2 linked regions of the Oryzias latipes genome follow. The protein of the gene in region 2 interacts with the protein of the main gene of each other region in a biochemical or structural test. Links are inferred from orthologs where the notes say so. Each region holds a gene or a part of one and is shown on either strand. Other genes may lie near its edges.

Region 1 (10,214 bases), on a different chromosome or scaffold from region 2:
TAAAATTCACAGCGTGTCTTTGCTTCTCCTCAGCCCCCCCACACACTCCTCCCCGCCTCGTCTCTAACAAAGCTGTCAAAACGACAGCTGCAGAACAAATGAAGATGGAGGCTTCACAGTCGCTTGGTAATTATACCCGAAGGAGGTTTCGCACATGCAATAGAGGACCTGACTGAGTATGAGTTTACGTCAATGCCAGTCATCAGGGTGCTCACCCGTGGCTGCAGGTCCTGCCACAGTGGCTGTGTGCAGGTCCAGTCCCAGAGCCCCAGAGCCACCTCCACCTCTCCAAGAAAGATATTCCTCCCCAGGGGCTCGGCATGCCACACAGAGAGGTTTAAAGTTCGACTCTGCAGCTCCCCTGCACGCACTTTATACTTGAAGAGTGCAGAAAAAGAAAGACTCCAATGACCTTGAGTTATGAGACATAAAAGGTGAATAGTAGCTGTGTTGTTTTTTTTTCAATATGCATGACTAATCACTGCGATGACAGCCACAGAGCTGAAAGATAAACGACAAATGCTAATGTTTTATGCAACATGCAAACGGGATGCTCTCACTCTGAGGGTCTGGTCATAGACTGGGTTCAGTGTCTTCTTCTTCACCGAAGTCTTCTTCTTACTGTGATGGGACTTGTCTGGCAGGAGATAAGTCTTTACGTATCTGTGAAATGAACAAGCACCATTTTCACGGAGTGGATCTGAGGGACGCTGCCAGTTTCACGCACACCCTTTCACTCACGGATCAGAGCGGTTCCTGCGCGCCGAGGCGATGTCCTCGCAGCAGTACACCTTCACTTGGAGCTCCTCCTTGTGATCGTCGTAAACCAATGAGTACTGGATGCGGCCCCTCACCTCCACCACCCCGAAATCCCCCGAGCTGAACAGACTCATCATGCTCCCACTGAGCTGTAACACAAACAGCAAAGATCAGCTCCTGCGTCAGTGTCCAGAGCTGAGTCATCTTGCGTCGCCAGACAGTGGATTTGACAAATGTGTGTGCGTGCATGCGCGTTCGTGTGTGTACCGTGTAGCTCGACTGAAGGCTGTTGGTGGAGCTCTTGGTATTCAGGGAGGATGGATCTTGTTCTGTCAGGCTGATGCTCAGAGAGTTTGGGTCCCTGTTGTGACTCAAATCTTCCTGCACTCAAACAAACACACAACTGTACTCACATATGTTCACTCAGAAAAAGCCATTTAATTGAACAAACATATGTAGTCATTTGAGAAATGATAAGATGTACTTTTATTTTTTTCTTTATTTTAAATTGTATGCGTATTATGAATTAATAAAGCACAATGATTCAGAATACTAATTATACAAAACCATAAACAATCTCTCAATTTATATATTTATCAATAAATATATTGTATGCACTTCGTGGCTTTTGGGGAGAAGCAGCTGCTTTAACTGATTCTGCAGAGGTATTTATGTGGTTTAGTGTTTGCTTTCTATTATTTTCTTTTTTCTGGTCCAGCAGATGCTCTCCAATAAACTGATAAAGGTCAGTTGGAGTTAGCCTGAGGTCCAAAGAAAATATTTGGAGTCCCAATCTGCACTTTAGATACACAAATCAATGTTTTTAGTCATGCACATTTCTTTTTGAACTTTAATAAACACTGGATTCATAACACATTAAAATGTGAACAACGTCATAAATTGTAGAAGATTTTTGGCAGCTTTTCTGAGAAACAAAGATAAAATTACAAAGGTAAAAGTAATATCTCCATAATATCACACTCATTTGGACAAAATTTCCAAAAAATTTGACTTGATCTGCAGCTACTCTTGCAGAATCAGAAAACAGTTTCAGATCGCTCCCCTTGCATTTGGAAAAAAACAACGCTCGTGTTTTAATCAGCGTTCTTGCTAATTACAAGTGAGCCTTTGGAGAGCACACCATCAGTTCAACAATGCAGCTTTAGAAAAAGGGAGCTTGCATTTTTCTTTGGGCTTCAGCTCCTTTCAGTGCTGCTTGCAGCTTCATTTTTTTCACCCACCTCTGCAGAAGATGCATAAAGATTTAGATTTCCTTCTTGATCATTTTGGCTGCAAAACCAAATCTGTTTTCAACCTTCTTCTAGGAAGAAAATGTTCCTAAGATATGATTTTATATCTCTTTCCCTCATTGATGTATTTTTTTTTCTAGACAGATTGTTTACGGAGTTCCTCAAACTTTAAGGTTTGGTTATTTCTATCCAGTGAGCTGGGTACATCTGATGAACATGAAACTGAAGCATAATAATGTAACGCATTGAGCGAAAACAGGTTTGAATGAATCCTCCTCTTGCATAATGTCAAATATTTGGTTAGAGCTTGTGGCCCAAGGGTGGCACTCAGAGTAGATGTTTGCCAAACCATTAGTTAAGATCCTGTGTGTGTGTGTGTGTGTGGGGGGGGGGGGGTGTTGGTCTGTGCGTGCGTCGTGATCACCTCGTATTTCCCTGGGTGGCCATTACTTCTCCTTTCATATCCTATTGGCACAGCTACATGTTTATTATGTAAAAAGAGTCGCAAGCAAAGATATCAGGAAAGACACGTTCATACCTTTGGAGTGTGAGGTATTAATACTGCTGTTCTCCTGTAGTTGAAGATCATTGATTGGTGTATTAAGATGGTTGAGTACACTTGAAAGGATGGGAAACAAACACAAGATTTTTCACACACACCTGCATGCCAGGAATTTGATGTCTGGCTGTGTGTGCCGAGTTTCCATGAGGCCTGAAAGAACAGAAGAGAAGCTGAATCAAATTTTCAAATGTCGCATTAGTGGTCTGATTGTGACAGATACCCACCCTTCATCCTGCTCCTTGTCTTTGCAGTCCTTCGGTCTCCCCTTTGCCTCCAGAGAACCGCTGCCAGCAACAGATTCCCGTCTTTCTCCATCAAACAGTTCCTGCAGAGATACATCTGTTGCCATGGCAACAGCCACAGAACCATTGCTGAGGTTTCCCCACAACAGCCGTAACACGGCTCGGCAGGCGAGCGCATTTACTGGAACCTGACCTCTGCTCTTTGTCTTTCTGTGGCGTATGGAGGCCCGGATGAGGTCGCTGCCCGACGTCCAGCTGTTATGGCGCTTGCTGCACTCCTCCTTAAACCAGCGCCCGGACAGCAGCCGCAGAAAAGATGGGTTTGTCCCTGTCTGCTCCAGGATCCTGCAGCATTGAAAGACAAACAGTGGGATTCAGGGTTATTCCAGAATTAGTCAATGTCACGTCATATCTTAATATTTTAGGTGAATAAAAAAGTACCAGACATATTGTAAATGTTATATTTGATATTTGATCTTAGAAATCCACCAATTGACCAAAACTATAGTGATAACTCAGTTTCACAAAACAGTTTCACGAAAAAGCTAAAATAAATGATATTTTAAAATATTTAGCTAAAATCTTACATATATGTTTCTACAGAACTGATCTCATTCTCCTTAAAATGCATTAATGTGTTAATGAAATATTTTTCATATTTGCTTCAAAAGTTTATCTTTAAATTTTAAGGTGAGGATTTTCAAATTTACAGAAGGTAAACAAATATGGAGAAAACATTGGGATTTTTCACATCATTTGTCTTCTGCTGTTTTATCCCTTTTGGGGTCACAGGGCTGCCAGAGTCTATCCTGGCCACTTGTGGGTGAAGGCAGGGGTCACCCTGGGCAGGTTGCCAGTCTGTCGCAGGGTCACAATCACACACACATTCACACCTAGGGACAATTTAGAGTTGACCTATGAAGCATGTTTTTGGACGGTGGTAGGAAGCCAGAGACCCTGGAGAGAACCCATGCATGCACGGGGAGAACATGCAAACTGCACACAGAAAGGTCCCCCATTGATGTTCTGTTTCAGGTCCCAGCTGGGACTTTAACCAGGGGCCTTCTTGCTGTGAGGTAAGAGCGCTAACCACTGCACCACCGTGCAGCCCCTTTTTTCACATCATCAACCATGAAAGAACCAAAAGCTCTTTTACAGTGAACCCGTTCCTCTCTGTAGCGAATACGAAAGTCACCTCTAACTGACCTCACACGGCCCTCGTCACGATTACGCAGCTCCAGGTCGCGCTGCAGGACCTGAAGGATGGAGGTCTTCTCGTCCTCGGTCAGGTGGCTCAGATCGAGAGATGAATTGACTCGTTCCCCCGCCATCCCTAACAGAGGGTTATATATGGTAATATATTGGTCTTAGGTTGCACCAAAGTGGAAAAAATGGATAGGTTTTTAAAAGTTTTGACAGATTTTTTATACCTAAATCAAGGATTCTCAAATGTTCTCCAGGGGGTACTTTAGATCTTTTAAATAAATTAATGGAAAAATTAACATCATAAATGGTCAAACAATATTTTTTTCATTTATGTTTTACCAAAAGATTTTCTACAATTAATATTTTTTCTTTTTAACTTTTTATCTTTTTTAATTTTTTCAGGCATATATTCTCTGTAGAAAAACTTTTGAATTGAAAGTTGCCACGGACAAAATGCATGAGGTAACAGAGAATCCTTTTGTTTCTCTAGCTGTTTTACATACTTCAACGGAAAGGTATTTTATAGATGACGCTTATGTGGTTTTAGGCAAAATGATTATGTCTGACAGAAGACTAAAAAAGCCTGCAAATCCCAGCCTTATTCTAGAAATCACCAAAAAACCACTTAAAAGAATGCATTGCAAGTTTTGAAATCATCTCAATCACTAAGTTATAACAACAGAACAACAGGTATTTTCCAAATGTGATGGAGAAAAATTGCCCTAAAGAAGTCAAAACTTTTAATTTAAACAAATGGCCCTGAATGAACAAAGCTTAAAGGAAGTGTGTCCCATTTTTGTCCAAGAAATGTCCAGAATTTGGGGGTTTCCCTCATTTCTGGGCACATTATGTTCAAATGAGTTCAAAAATAAGTTATTTTAAAAAACAGTACTTATGAGAACGTTATCATATGAAGTAAAAGACAACAACATTCTGAATAGCTAGTGATTTTTTTCCTTCACTTATCTGCACATCGTCCTCTTATCTCCTAGCCAAGAAAATAAACAAGAGCCTTGTCACGTGACTATTTGGAAGCTCCAGCTCCAGCTGGAGGCCAAAACCCACCTAAAAAGCTGTTTGTCACTAAATTTGTGTAGCAAATGTCCAGTAAGAGACCCTGAAACAGACGCATGTGCAAATCAGTTTACTGTTACAGTGAGTAACCACACACACGAATACTTCAGCTTTCCAAAATCAAACAATATTTAAGTATTGTTTTTGACTTACTTGACAGCGGTACAACAACTTAGGAGGGGATTTTTTTTCAAAACATATTTTTAAATATAGATATTTGCAAAGTTTAAAAAATGGGAAAAATTTACAATTAACTTCATGGTCATTTCAGCAAAAAATGAGATTGCAAGACTCAGATGAACCTGCCTGAAAGAGAAAAAGAACACCTGCCGCCCTCACGTTTCTCTCTTAAAAACACGGCTTTTAATCAAGTTATTCTTTTGGAAAACATAAGAAAATGCGCATTTATTACCTTACATGACCGCTTCTCCTAGATCCATTAGAGAGAAGTTTCGTGAAGTGTTCGCGTGAGTTGAGAGAACACGCCCCACAAACAAAAAGGTCGGTCTATGGGAGCCACTAAAAGACACGCACCGTCTTTGCGCGTGCGTACTTGTGGTCACATGTCGCCTCCGGACGAATTCTCACCTTGTTGGAAGTTTTGACTTCAGGCAGAATCCAGCTTCTTATCATTTAAAAGGCACCAAACAAACTCATGTCAACATGAACACTTCATCGAGCATTTGAAGAAATCACGTGATACTTGAATGACACATTTTTCTGAATAACACACACACACACGGATGTTTTTTTTTTTTTTTTTACGAAGAAGGCAGGGTGGAGGTGGGATTTGATTCTATCCACGCCTGCTAAACAAACACCATGTCCTGTACTGTACACACACATACAGTATATCTGCACATGGGAGCGACTCTGCTTGCTTTAAAGGAGGGAGAACTCCCAGTAGCATATTAACCAGTGTGCACTAGAATTTGTGCTTCCCCTTCCTTTCACTCTGCGTTTAGGTGTTTGTGCATCAGTGGGCGGGAGGGGAGCAGAATTCAGCTCTGTCCTTTGTCAACAAACTTGGATGACGGCCACGCTCTGCTCAGCTGGGGAAACGTTTTTGTGTGGGCTTATTCATGCCTGTAGATCCTGGGAGACCAGCCACTGCTGCTCCTCTAGGCCGCCAAGCTCTGTTTGGGTCACGACTCATATTTACAGCCACATTTAAATGTAAGAAGTCTGAGGTGTGTCCGTACTAGAATTCTGATCTCTTCTTTTCCTAGTTTGCTTGAAACCTGTTAGATGTGTTATGGCATTGGCTGCTCCTAATTTAAATGCAAGGGGCTCACATTACATAGTGAAAAGCTGTTTGTTCAAGCAATGGGACGTTAGGAAAATGCAAACTGTTTGGAATGTTTGCCAAAAACAGGATTACACAGCACCATCATTTCTGTATAAAGTTCTAAATCACAGGGTTGAACCTGAAAAATCCAACATAAATATGAGCAATAAAAAACAAAGTATTTCTAAACACCCATGATAAACTAACATATCTGTGGAGCAATTATGAACATCTTTTAACCCTTGTGCTATCTTAGATGACCCCACCCTTAGACATATTGTCCCTACCATGACAAAGGTGGATAAAGGTGGAAAGATTTCATGTAATCCATGGACACCAGTGAGGATCACAAATCATTGAAGAAAAAAGGTTCAACACATTGTCTAGTGGGTCTGGATGACCCAACTCCCAATGTTAAAGGGCCTAGGATAGCACAAGGATTACGAATACAACCCGCACCTATGAGAGGGAACAGCAGCACTGAACAGTGGGAAAATACTCATCCAAAGGTTTTCAGTAAGATGTCAGGAAATAATCATGGTTGAAATCCCCTTGATGGCAAATTAACCCTTGTGCTATCCTAATCCCAAATCTAACCTTTTTTCTTCAATGATTTGTGATCTTCACTGCTGTCCATGGATTACATGAAATCTTTCTACCTTTATCCACCTTTGTCATGGTAGGGAGAACACGGCAATGTAAGGGTGGAGTCATCTAAGATAGCACAAGGGTTAAGCCTTTTGAATGTTGTTTTTGTTCTTTAGCTCCTCTTAATTTGATCCATATTTATAAAGTTAAACATTTTCTTCTTTTTCTTGAGTCATGCAACTTAAAAATTTAAAATATATAGCATGGATTGATGCAGTCACATGTTCAGCTCTTAACAGTAGATGTCTAAATGCTCTAAATAAAGGAGGTTTCCATATGACAATGCTGGTTTTTGACTTTCACTTGGCTGGAGGGACTTTTCCACCCCCTGATTAAATATTTTCAACTTTACATAGCCATGATCATGCAGGGTGTTTTAAACCACAGTAATTTAAATTAAATATCAGAGTATCACCTTTTCACAAAAGGACCCATGATCGCATAAAAGCACGTAAAGAATTTTATTGTTTACATCAAACAGCGAATGCTGTGCATGACAGATGTTCAAGAAGAGACACAGTAGTTACTTAAAATGTTTTAAAACATTTTTAGCCATAAAGTCATTTTTTAGTTAAACTTTGAAACCCAAAGACGAAAAAGGGCAGTCCAGCGTTAACCCTTGTGCTATCTTAGATGACCCGATCCTTACATTGACGTCTTCTCCCTACCAGGACAAAAACATAAAGGTGGAAAGATTTCATGTAATCCATGGACACCAGTGAAGATCACAAATCATTGAAGAAAAAGGTTCAACACATTGTCTAGTGGGTCTAGATGACCCAACACCCAACGTGACAGTGCCTAGGGTAGCACAAGGGTTAAAAAACATCACATGTGTAAAAGTGGTGGCATCATGGTTTGGGCTTGTTTTGCTTCATGCCAGACAAGATCACTTAACAAACTCAATTTTAGCTGGATTGATAAATGACACTGCAGAAACAAAACAAATCAAGTACCAATCAAACTAAACATTGGAGGAAGAAGAAGTGCATGTTTTTTTCCAATGATTACAGAAAAGTAGGGGGAAAAAAACAAATCTAAAAGATATTTTAACAGGATTTTTCACTGCAAAAATTTTAAAGCTTTCCATTTATGATATATTTTTTAAATTTTTTGTCAAATTAATATATTACACATGAAATTAACTTCTATGAGTTAACAGGAGGAATTTCAGAAACACAAAAGGACATTTATTTGAATAAACATCTGAAATATTGCAATGTTTCTCTCAAGCAAAAAGGCTGGAATTATCGATTTTTTTTTCAGGGGAATATTTTAAACCACTTTGTTGTTGGATTTTTGAAGGCAATTCTAAAAAACAAACTCTCATGATTTATGTTTCTATTCTTCAGGGGTCATGCAATCCTATCCTACAGAAGTGATGCCAAAATTATCACCATACCACAGTCTCTGTGTATTTTGTACAAATGCTTACAGGTGTGTGACCGCCGGCAGCATCCTAAGAAACATTTAGAACATCTGCCTATTATATAGGGAGCTAACAGCAGCTAAAAGAGGTGTACAAATCTGGTGGTAACTTGATGAGTCACTGCTCTGCGTCTGCAGTCCTTCATCCTTGTCTGATTGTCCTTTGTGCGTCTCATCTTCACTGGGGCTGCTCTCTGCGCAGAAAGACACAGACAGCAAAAGCACTAAATGGATTTGTGATTAGACTTAATAGACAATCTGAGGTTAAAATGCAAACAAAATTTTTTTTTCTGAGCAGCATGTTGTGTGCCATTGATCATTCTAGCCACCAGAGGCTGCTGGTAGCTGCTGCAGACATGAGAGTTGTGTAACACCTCCATGCTCAAACTCACATTGGATCATAGTTGCTCTGCTCTTTGGATTTGAGGAAGCGCATGGCAAAGAAGCCGCCTGCCTGCAGGCACAGCACAAGTACGATTCCTCCTACGAAGCTGGACATGTCGAACTTAGCCTGGGAGAACTCAGGGGATGAGGTGGTGTCCGAAGCATCACCTTAACAAAAGACAGTTCAGTGGGTTCACACCATGGTTACATAAGTGGATGAGGTGTTAAAGAAAGGATCCACTTTTCTCATACACTTTGCTCAGCTGTTATGGAAATTAACGTTTGATGCGAAACAGAAGGGAGGGAAGGTGGTTGAGGATATAAGTTACCTGCGTCACCTTCGCCACCAGTTGCAACGTTTTCTATAACTGGGTAAACATAAAAATAGGTTAAAACAAAGAAACTTGAATACCCTTTTTTCAATCTGTTTTTTTTGGTTTTGTTGTCTATTTTGATACCTGCACAGAGTTCAGAGACTCTGGTCCAACTACAGTTCATGCCCATGTCAGCTGAATCACCGCCATCAGCCACACATGTACCTGTATCATTACCTGGGATGGGGGGAAAAAAACGCATTTGAGTATGCACCTATGTGGTTTCCTGGTATACAGAACTAAATAATTCAATCATTTGCTACAAATGAGGGGAGCTACAGTTACAGCAGCTGCGATGATTGAATTACTATCAGGGGTAAGCTGTGTGTGGGTCACCATTTGGGCAAAGTCTCCAGACGCAGCCGGTCAGGTTAAGCATGGAGTCTCCCACACACAGGTCACATGAATCTGCTTGAGAACAATCTGTGGGACAAAACTGAAGTCAGTAGGCAGCATTTGGAAATGTATATATTTAACCACCTCACCCTTATTGTAAGACATTTTTCAAGACTGACAAATGTAGTACGGGGCAATATTTTGAGATGACACTCCTGTTCTTTTTTTTTTTTTAGTTTTAAAATCGAGATTTTTTTACATGAAAATGAAGAAAATAGGTGCCATTGCAACAGCAGATGACAAATCTGATTGGCTTTTGTCGAAGTGCAGAAACATGAATCACGATAAAACAGAAAAGTTCTCAGTGTAGAAAAGGAAAAGGGTGTGATAAAAAAAGGAACAATACCTGACTGTGAGCACACAGAGGGAACCACTGTTAGAAGCAGTAAGGCAGAGCACAGGACCCTCAGAGCCAATGGTCGCATCCTGACAATTGCAGAGCCCCAGCACCTGCAAAGGACACCTGGAAACTTCTTAGAACAGGAAATCAGTTAATAAGAGGGTTTAAAAATTCCAAAAATACCCAGGTATTCAAAAAGTTTGCCAGTGGAGATGTGGGTGCCTTCAAGAAAAGGAGCAAAGAAGAGACTCAGACCGAAGATC
Region 2 (10,188 bases):
TGATAAAAATTAGGCATTGATTATAGATTTTTTTAAATAAAAGGAGTGGGTTGAGGTTAGAGGTTCCATTTAGCTACAACCGCATTCAGCTTGATACCAACACCTAGTAGTAGCAACCAGGTTATGGTTGCCATCGGTGTTGGCTGGATTGCTAGGCAGGCGCGCGTGCTGAGTAACTATGCTGTTAGCTGACACCTATTAAGAACAAAACACTAGTTTATGACGAAAGACTCCACCATTTCCCCCCGCTGTGGATGGTTTACATCATTCGAGGAATGATATAGCTGTTAGGCTAATGTTGCTAACCGGTCAGCAACAGTCGAAGAAGGGAGGACCCAACTCAACAAAAGCGCTAATAGGCGTGGCGACTAACCGGCATGATGAAAACGTAGTACATGTGCTATAAAGCTTATGTCACGATGACAAGAGTTATTAAAGTCTTCGTTGGTTTGACAAAAAGGCTAATTAAAATATTAATACTCAACTGCTGTGTCCATTTCGTCGATGGCTCACATCCGAAGCCTTGTTGTCAAGTCAGAGTTCTTGTGCGCATGCGTGACAGTGAAAGGACGGGATTGGTTACAGTCAATGGCAACACAGCTTTATTTCTATTTGATTAGGATGTTTTTAAAGAATATTTTTGTTGAAACTGATTGTTCTCAATATTTTGTAATAAAATAATTGAATCTGAGAGAATATATTAAAAATATTTAGTATTTAAAGACCCTACATTCTGTTTAGGGCTGCATGATATAAGGAAAACTCGCGATATGTGATATTTGAGATTAATATTGCGATAACGGTATAATTTGCGGTATATAAACAAATAACAAAATAACCAAAAACATAATTCCCATTTAATTGCAACAGTTTAAAAATTATACTCCAAATGATCCTCGTCGACATAGGTGACAAACATCTAACATAACAGACCTACATCCAATTGGTCAACAACGTGATTGATCAAATGCATAAAGGGATTTATTTGATTCGTTAAATGCTTCAAGTTACCTTGAGGTTGTATTAACACATTTAAGGTTTACGATTTATTGCGTTTTTCGCTGTCTTTTGCAATATGCATATTGCAGAGATATCGCCATAACGATAAATTTGAGGTATATTGTGCAGGCCTAATCCTGTTATTTATTAGCTATCTGCTGTTTTTAAATAGAGCTATGGTAACAAGGTAATTTCCCCTTTGTGGGATCAATAACGTTTCATTCTATTCTATTCTATTCTATTCTATTCTATTCTATTCTATTCTATTCTATACTGCTCTATTCTTAAATCCCTGAGGCTGAAAATTGTATAGGTAGCTCTTAAACATAGGTGTACTCCTGACATTCAATAAGAATGTACTTTTCATAATTTGGAAAAATTAGGAAAAATCTATTCGACTTTCCTTTTTTCAAGAATTTCGTCATTGTCTGACTTTTCTGTTCACTTTTGACTTGACAGCTCCAATAATGAATTTCATTATTATTAATCTGAAACTAATAGTTAATTAACCGCCTATTAGAGATGGAGTACTATCAGACAACAATAGTCGATTGCCTGGGTCCAACACTTTGAAGTTTTTGTTTAAACACATTTTTTCTTTCACCATGGGAATACATTGGTATTGAGCATCCGAAAAGCAGTTGGAAATTTGAATAACACATTTCAAGCTTATGATATTGTTTAAATTTCCTAATTTCATTTGTTTTAGATCTTTTGCCACAAGTGTCATAATTTAATAATAAAATAATGAGTGTCCATTTATAAGGTTTACCAAATGTGTTAATCATAAATAGACAATAACTTTAAGTTTTTGTTAAAGTATATTTAAGATCTTAGCAACCCTTAACCATTATTTGTGTGACGTCACCTTTTTTCAAGTTGTTCTTTTAATTCCCCACATGAGGGCACTCTTCGCTCCTTCAAGAGTGTTGTACCACAGCAAAAACCAGAAGAAGAATGCTCCTCTCATGTAAGTGTGCTTGCTGTGCGTTGTGGTTGCTTGTTGTTTTCATGTTTATTTGCCTTACAGAAAGACGCGCTGTCAGTTTATTTGATTTCGTATTAACTAATGCTATAGACTGTAACCTTTGTGCAAAAATACATTATGGCGGTTTTGTCTCATAAAGTACTCACAAAACGTCAAGGTTGTCAAGTTTCCCCCCCAGTTAGGACTCACTTCCGGTTTGAATTTTGAAAGTAACACCATAAAAACAAAAGTTTCACGTGTCTCATTGCTTCATCATTCATGACTTATATTATTTTAAAAACAAAACAAGGAAAACTAAAGCACTAATATTGACTCATCAGGCTTAGGTAAAGAATTTTATTCTGGTTATTTTAATTTCAAAATGGAAAGAACCATAATTTCCTCTAAAGCTAACGGGAGGACATGCAATAAAAATGTGGCATCATAACATTAGAAAAATAATTTGATTAAAAATAATAATAAATTCGTGTTTGTGGAGATACTGCTTTGGGTGTGTAAGTTTGAGGTGAAAGTTTCACTTACAACATGTTAAGGATGTGCAACATTCATCACTGTGAAGCAAATGCAAAAGAAAAAAAAAAAAAAAAACCCACCAGGAAATGATGTCTGCATAAATGTACTGATTACATCATTTTGCTTCTGTTTTTAGGATCTTCTAGTGTCTCCATTGGGATTTCTAACTGAAAAGGATCATGTTTAGGCAAAGATTGCCTTTCACGCAGTTGCTTTTGGCCACTGTGCTCGGGGTTGCGGGAGGCTTGTATATCTACAAACCTTATTTTGAGCCTGTACAGAAGATCTCAGGACAAGAAGACACAGATGTGCCGAAGAAACAGAATAAAACAGACTGAAGTAATTCATCGTGATAAAGAAATAAACAGACAAATGTTTGTGTCTTTATTTCAGCCACACTGCCTGTGTTGGACTCAAAGGCCATCATAAGATACTTTTTGAGAACGTGTGTATATTGAATAAAAATGTCTTAATTCAACATGACATGTGTAGAGCATACTTTAAGTAAATACCTTATGGCCTCTCCCTCTGCACACTTTGCAGAGATCGTCAGTCCATCACAATGAAACATAAAAGCCTCGTACTTTAACCTACTTCTACGGTCAGATAAGGATCACCGGTTCATGTGAGATTATGTGCAGAGGAATTAATGTCTTTTCTTACTAGCAATTAGCAAAACTTAGGCAAACAAGCAAAAACAAAGTATTTTTTTTTTAGCTTTACTTGTAAACACTGATATGTAATTATTAAATCTTGCAATGTTTGTACCAACACCAAACTTGAAAGAAGAATTGAAATGTTCTATCCAAGGTAAATTTTAAAGAATTTGAGTTAATATTGTTTGAAAATGTAAGCATTAAATGAATATGGCATTATAGAGATAAGCTGTTTGGATTGATAAAGAAATATACAGTTAAATGTATATAAAGTTATTTTCTCAATTTTCGTTGTGTTTTTCTAACTCTTACTATTACACTGAATCTACCATTAAGATGACAAAAAACTATAAATTTTTTTTCAAAGTAGGCAAACCCTACAAAATTAGCAATGGAACAAATACTGGATTTCTTCTACTGTATTGAAAAAAAATAATGCTATTTTAATGCGATGGTTGTATACCAGAGTGATTGCTTGTGCATTCATTATTTTAAGCTTTTATCAATACCTATCCAGTTTTCTATTAGGTACGTTGGAAGATGATGTGAATACCTGATGCATTCAATAAAACAACACAGCTATTGTTAAATGTCCCAAACCAGAGATAAAAATATTTCACCGCTTAACAAGTGTTAAATTGCTCTGTAGACTGCTATCATCCTGTTCATTGCAGTGGGTAACATTTAAGGTTGAAGAATAAAGTCATGTGCAAAGATTAATTATTATGAATTTTATTTATTTATTTGCTTTTGCTAACAACCATTTATTGGTTTAACAGCAATCACTTGTTAACAAATAATTAGTTCATAATTCATAAGAAATTTCTAATCAATTTATTTATTTTCTTTGTGTACTCCTTTACCATGGACATTTCTAAAATATTTTAGAAGGGAGATCAAGGAACCTTAGAGGTAACTAAAAAATTGCAAATTACATAAGTTTTTTTTTCATTCAGTATATCAGATTATTCAGCGTAACAATTTTATTTGTTGAATTTAAAACCAACCAATTAATATGGTTGTATTATTTATTCATCAAACTTTAACCAGTCAGATGGACTGACCCATGTGGGCCATCCTTGACGTGCTGCAGTTCCCGCCTGTACCGTCGGGAGGCGCTGTTTCTCAGCGCGGCCAGGCGGCAGTTGGTCTGAGCTCCGAGTAGATGCGGCTGCTCTCAAGTTCTCTGCTGGGCCAGAAAGGGACGCCGAAAGTCAAGAACTCCGTCATTTAGCTTCCATAAAGCCCGAAGCGGACAGTTGAGCGTTTTCTTTTTGACGACAGACAGCAGAGCAGCAACGCCCCGCGGCTGGTGAGTACTTTTTCTTTCAGGAAATGTCAAGAAATCAGCCCGTAGCATCTGTCAGAGGTTAGCAGGAAACTTTTTACTCGACTTGATGGTCTTGCTGGTATTTCTGCGCTTCCTTGAGAAACTGAAGAGCTTTGATATTTGGAAAACTTGAACCTGTTTCTCCTGAGCGGACACTTTTCTCGTTATTTTCTCAAGCAGCGAAATGACAAACCATCGTTACACCTTGCAAGCCACCAACATCTCTTCACGCAGGAGGTCATTTGACCAAACGGTCCAATTTTGAGAACAACATGTCTGAAAAAGTTTGAGAGTTTGACAGGACCCGCACTGCAGGCTAACTAAAATGTTTCCGGCGTCCCCCACATGAGGACCAGCTGAGGACCAATTGGTTTGGGATAATTGGCTGTTCAGGCCCGCATCTTTGCGTGCAAATGGATTTGGAGCGCCTCTTGTCTCACGTGTTTTTCTGTGCCTCCCTTTAAAAAAAAATAAAAAATGTACCCCCTCCCCCCAAAAAAGCACATTCACATTCTTGTTAATTATGTCACGTTGTATTTTGATAAGCTGGTGGTGCACATCCGGAACCCCCCTCCCTTGGCCGCCCACGGTGGCTCCTCCATTTATCTGTGACTTGGCTGCTACGTGGGTTCCGTCTTGCATGGGTGGGAGGGCTGGCAGCCGCGCTCGCCCCCTCCCTCTGTAAAATGAAGCAGGCAGAATAACATGAGTTTGACTAATCTTTATTTAAACATGGCTTAACATGGAAAGGATGTTACCAAGAGGTTTAAAACAACAGTTAACCACGGCAGACCAGAACCGTCAATCATTATAACTCACTTAATGGGTTTAAAATGTAAACATTGTTGGACTACAACATAATATCAAAAGTAAAGAGCACCTTTCACTTCTTAAAGACCCACTCGGATGCAAATGGTGGTTTGGTATTCTTGTGGCATTCTTCTCATGATGGAGGACATAATACATTAAGAGAATTAATATTAAAATTGCATTTCTGAGTATTATTTTATTCAAATTGTTGTGAATCAGGAGCAGATGAAAAAATGTCATTGGAAAAAGCTTTTAGGTGTGACGTAGGAGCTCCTACGGCAAGCCACAAGCTCCATTCCGATGCATCCAGTTGCAGACAAATGGATCCGTGTACGTCTTTGTTGTCCTCGTTCAAGCTGGTATCTAATTACAACTGGATGGCTCCCTGTTGCACAGGTAATGTTAGGTTGGGGGTGTAAGGGGCTGTAAGCTAGCAGGACAGAATGCAATCAGATGGATTTTGGGAAACTAGGACAGACTCAGGACTCAGCACCAACAGTTCCCAAAACTCAGAGACAAACTTCTAGTGAACTACTGCCGTCTGCTGAAACGGTCCTAGAAAATTACAGGTTTTCTGATTATGTCTTAAAATGGCATAATCATAATTAAAAGACCAATGGGACGCTTTTACCATAGATCAATAGAAAATTTGGAATGTGACTATTTTAAAATGTTAACACTTCAATTTTAAATTCTAGTTTTGCATCTGAATTCGTTTTCCTTTTTGCAATTCTTTTAAGATTGTTGAAAGATTCTTTCTAATTTTTGAGAAGCACTTTCTATAAATGAGTTCTCATCTTACAAATCTGTTGTATTTTATTGAACTTCCATTTGTCATTGGAAATAAAAATGGAATATTCCTGACCTTTGACTGAACAGTCACTTTATTCATTTAAGTAGGAGTCATCAGATGAACCCGCTGTTAAATTGATCATCGCTTTCATACTGATCAGCTGATGTCGTTTTCTGTTCGGAAATACATCAGTCAGTCTGAATTTATCTAACACTTTCCTCTGTATTTTAGCCATTTTATATCAGGAATGCTTTCTATATACTACAGGTTATTCATAATCCCCATTGATAGGCTCATTTTTGTCTTTCTAGCTTGAAAGCTGCTTGTGTAAAAAAAAAAAAAAAATCATAATTTTAAATTTTTTTCGAGCTGCAAACTAAACAAGCTAACATGCTTAGCACATGTTACCTTAACAGGAAACTCATGAGACATTTGGCCATGTTTTTCTAAAGAAAAAAACCGTCTCCGACAAACTTCCTCAATAGCTGAGAAGGTGATCCTTGCACAAGACTGTTGCCACTTTTGTATGTAGATAAACTAGTTTATTTGCTGTACAGGTTCATTCAACTGAACCAGCTTCAGGTTAGAGCAGTTTATGTATGAAAAGAATTAGGGTCTTGAGGGCCCTTCCAGCTTATAATATATCCAAATTTATGGCCTTTTTTTCTAATGTCACGTGCATCACGTCGGCCACGTCTTTGATCAGTGGAGTAGCACAAATTGGGCCATGATTGTCAAAGGAAAGCATATCTTAAGTAGCAACGGCTGCACTTCCCTTTTTGTTTTTTGCTCAGCTCTGTAAAAGATCTCATTCTGTCAGTAGAGCGTTTATTTTTCTCAGTTATGACACGACAATGAAGCGAGGCAAGATTCTTTTTCATAACTCATTTGTCACGGTGCCTTTGGAACACGTCTCATACAAAGGAAACGTCTGATTAGATTGATAATCTGCTAGAATATGCTGAGGCAGTCTTCCCTCCGACAGTGTGGTTTTGCTGTGCTGTGCTGCCGTTGTGACGTGTTTTCACCTAAGCAGAAGTACTGGACCCTGTCAATAAAGAAGATCTGAGTTTAACTAGTAGATTGATCAATAAGCTGTCAAATCAGATCCAAATGTTGATACTTTAATTCACGTGAAGTTGTTGAGATTTCCATTTTTCTGTCTGCTGCTTCACTGTTTATTACCAATACTACCAACTAGATTTTAACAGTGTGATGTTATTCAAATAGGTATTACACTCATAATACTAGTTTCAGGTGACAATTTTCTATTCACTAAAATGACAAGGTGTGAAAAGTTCTCCTGCCTGAAAATAAATCCCATTCAAAACTCATCTTCATGCAGCAACTATTGTTTTATACAGGATTATTTTTTGTTTTTTGTTTTTCTGACTTTTAGGGTTTTCTCTTTTTTCTTGTTTCTTTGACTGCTTTCTTTAAAATGCTATACATTTGTCAGTATATGCAACAGTTTAAAGTCCCACTCCCATCATCTTTTGATCTATTGTAAAAGCATGCCCAGTGGTCTTTTAGTTATGATTTTGCCATTTGCAGCCAAAACCTAAAAACGTGTCGTTTTTCAGGACATGTTTCCTGCAGAGCCGCTGGAATTCATTAGAAATTTGTCTCTGAGTTGTGGGCGGGACTGTTTGCACCGAGCAACTCCGCTCCCCTTCCCCTCCCCGTTGCTAAGAGCTCATAGCAGGGAGCTTGTGGTCCGCCCAGTGTTTTCTACATCACAAAAATGTTTTTTTTTTTTAAACAGCCTTTTTTCATTCGCTCCTGATTCACAACAATTTGAAGTAGGCGAGGGTCATTTTAGAGAATCATTTAAGTTATGTTGACTGTTATTTAAAACAAACTGTTGCAGTGAAATGTAGATGATGTTTTTGGATGTTATGCTATTTTTTTCATGTATCATAAGTTACATCGTCATTGAAATATTGATCATTATTATCACAAATTGCGAGTTTTCCTCATATCGGGCAGCCCTGATTTTAATAAAGAAATACTCAGAAATTTAAGTTTGAGCCTAATTTTGGCTATGAGTCTTCCAAATGCCATAAGAACATGTTAAAAACTCCAAAACAGGATTTTCTACAGAGTGGAGCTTTAATGAATAATATGGGTCTTGCTGCCAAATGACTAAATTGATTTGATTTTGTTTAACAATTGGTTTAATTCAGTTTCCAACTCTGTAGGATTAAATTAAACAGATTTTTTCCCGAACTTTATATCAATTTTAATAAAACTTTTTTTGTTTTTGTTAGATTATTAAAAAAACTGAGCTACATTTACAAGAACTAAAAAAATAAATTAAATACTAACAGAAAATCTTTTTTTTTTCTGCCTAAAAACACCATAAATAACGGATAAAAGAAAATGATTTCATGGATGTCATGAATCAATGTTATATTGTCAAAGTGCAAATTGATAAAACTTTTTCTTTTAATTCCAAAACATATTTACTGTGCTGTTTTTAGTTTGACCGGCTTTATTTAGCAAAAATGTCTAAGTTGTGGAATAAACCTGAATGTGAAATAGCTGTGGTGACATTTCCTGTTCCTGACAACAGATTTTTGGGTTGATCCACAGGAGAAGTTTTAGTTTAAAAAAAAAAAGTCTTTAAATATCCTAAACAAATAGAAATGAGTCTCAAACCTCTAAATGGGATTTCATGAAATGCTCTTCAATTCAGTTTTGTTGGCAGCCATGTTGGGTTCAGTGGGGAGGAATTGATTCATGTCATCAGGAAAGTCCTGTGGAGTGGGTTAGTCATCGTAGTTGGCATCACATCAGAGCTTTCCCATAACAGACTCCTACATTGACTGTAAGAGGACTGAAACTCGTTTGTGTGGTGATGTCTTGCTTGTAAGCGATTGCATCGTGGTGCAGTATTAACGTTATTGGTGCAAACTCCACGGGTTTGCATTGCGGCTAAACAAAGTCAAGTTTTGTGTCGAGATGGGACCTCACCTCTTTGCGGGGGTTATACTGTGAATAGAAACAGCTTAGACGTTATTACAAATAAATATACTGCCTAAGGTAGGAATGGGGTTTATAAAAATGAACGTGCTGATGAAATTCAATTGGAAAATTCAATATTCACTCATAAATCTTCTTTTATCTGGCAAATACAGATTTTCAGTTAGTTTATTGATTTACAATTTTATCAATGTAAGCATTCGTTCAATAGATCACTGACAAATCAAATCCTGAAAGAAAAGTTGAATCATGAATTTGTAAACCAAAGTGAATTGTCGAGATTCAGTAGTTTGGCTGGGATATTTTGGGACGTGGAACAGCCAGAAGTGGGCGGAGCCATGTTTGACCTAACTTTGCTGCATTCAGTCAATGGCTGCAAAGGACAGAGTGTTTGTTTTCCAGCAGTCTTCGCCCTACTTACTGCTGATCACCTGGATCAGGTGTGTTCTGCCATGAAGACGCTGCAAGTGAAGGCAGGGGGGGGGGGGGGGGCTTAATGGGATTCTTCTGAAGTATGCAGTATGAACTATGTGACAGATTTATATAAAATTAAACTAACAAAACACCTTTAACTTTTTAAGGCTGAATGTGTTGTAGAGCTCACTTAGCCTTGTATGCAAGAAAAGCTGTGCAGTGGAGCAAATGAAACGTTTTTGAAAACATTAAAAGAAAATCTGGAAAATTCAAAACTGATGATTAGAAATGCTTTTACACTAGAAGTGAATCACATTGGAGATAAATGCCTGTTAGAAGAGCTTTGTTGATGCCAAACTTGATCCAACTTTTAATCTTTATTGAATCAAAACAGGTTTGTCTGCAGAGATGCAAATCTTGCAGTTGTGGGATTTGCACGTTGTAACTTTCTGTTTATGGCGCCGTGAAGCTTGCTGCCATGACTTCCAGCACATTTTTCATGGATCTGGATTCTGCATGAAACCCCAATCCGCTTATAGTTCTCGATGAAAGGTTAGGGGGCGAGACAGGAATGCAGGGCTTGTCTGGCTCTGGTCAGCACCAACCATGTGATTTGGCTTTGCTGCTTTTTTTAGGTTTTTCCTGCAGTTATTGAAGCATTGCAAAAAGTTACATCAAGTGTTTCATATTTCCTTGAGTT

What was found. The genes of interacting proteins can lie anywhere in the genome.
Region 1: the proteins of rab27a (region 2) and sytl1 form a complex in vitro, tested with the Homo sapiens proteins (3 studies listed by BioGRID). The link is inferred for Oryzias latipes from reciprocal best matches to the Homo sapiens genes RAB27A and SYTL1.

The regions. Positions count from the first base shown.
Region 1 is NC_019869.2:21,769,379-21,779,592, forward strand, and holds the start of sytl1 (synaptotagmin-like protein 1), read right to left. Parts: upstream 5,631-10,214; 5' UTR 5,506-5,630; intron 4,147-5,505; 5' UTR 4,145-4,146; coding exon 4,020-4,144; intron 3,159-4,019; coding exon 3,007-3,158; intron 2,911-3,006; coding exon 2,796-2,910; intron 2,722-2,795; coding exon 2,670-2,721; intron 2,582-2,669; coding exon 2,548-2,581; intron 2,487-2,547; coding exon 2,434-2,486; intron 1,141-2,433; coding exon 1,027-1,140; intron 909-1,026; coding exon 742-908; intron 664-741; coding exon 561-663; intron 378-560; coding exon 216-377; intron 1-215. Other genes in the region: cd164l2 (CD164 sialomucin-like 2 protein), read right to left, coding at 8,636-8,651, 8,850-9,009, 9,171-9,209, 9,300-9,392, 9,552-9,638, 9,958-10,036.
Region 2 is NC_019861.2:21,646,433-21,656,620, forward strand, and holds the start of rab27a (ras-related protein Rab-27A), read left to right. Parts: upstream 1-4,251; 5' UTR 4,252-4,468; intron 4,469-10,188. Other genes in the region: kinesin-like protein KIF3A, read right to left, coding at 486-497; protein PIGBOS1, read left to right, coding at 2,680-2,838. UniProt on the Homo sapiens protein: Small GTPase which cycles between active GTP-bound and inactive GDP-bound states. In its active state, binds to a variety of effector proteins to regulate homeostasis of late endocytic pathway, including endosomal positioning, maturation and secretion.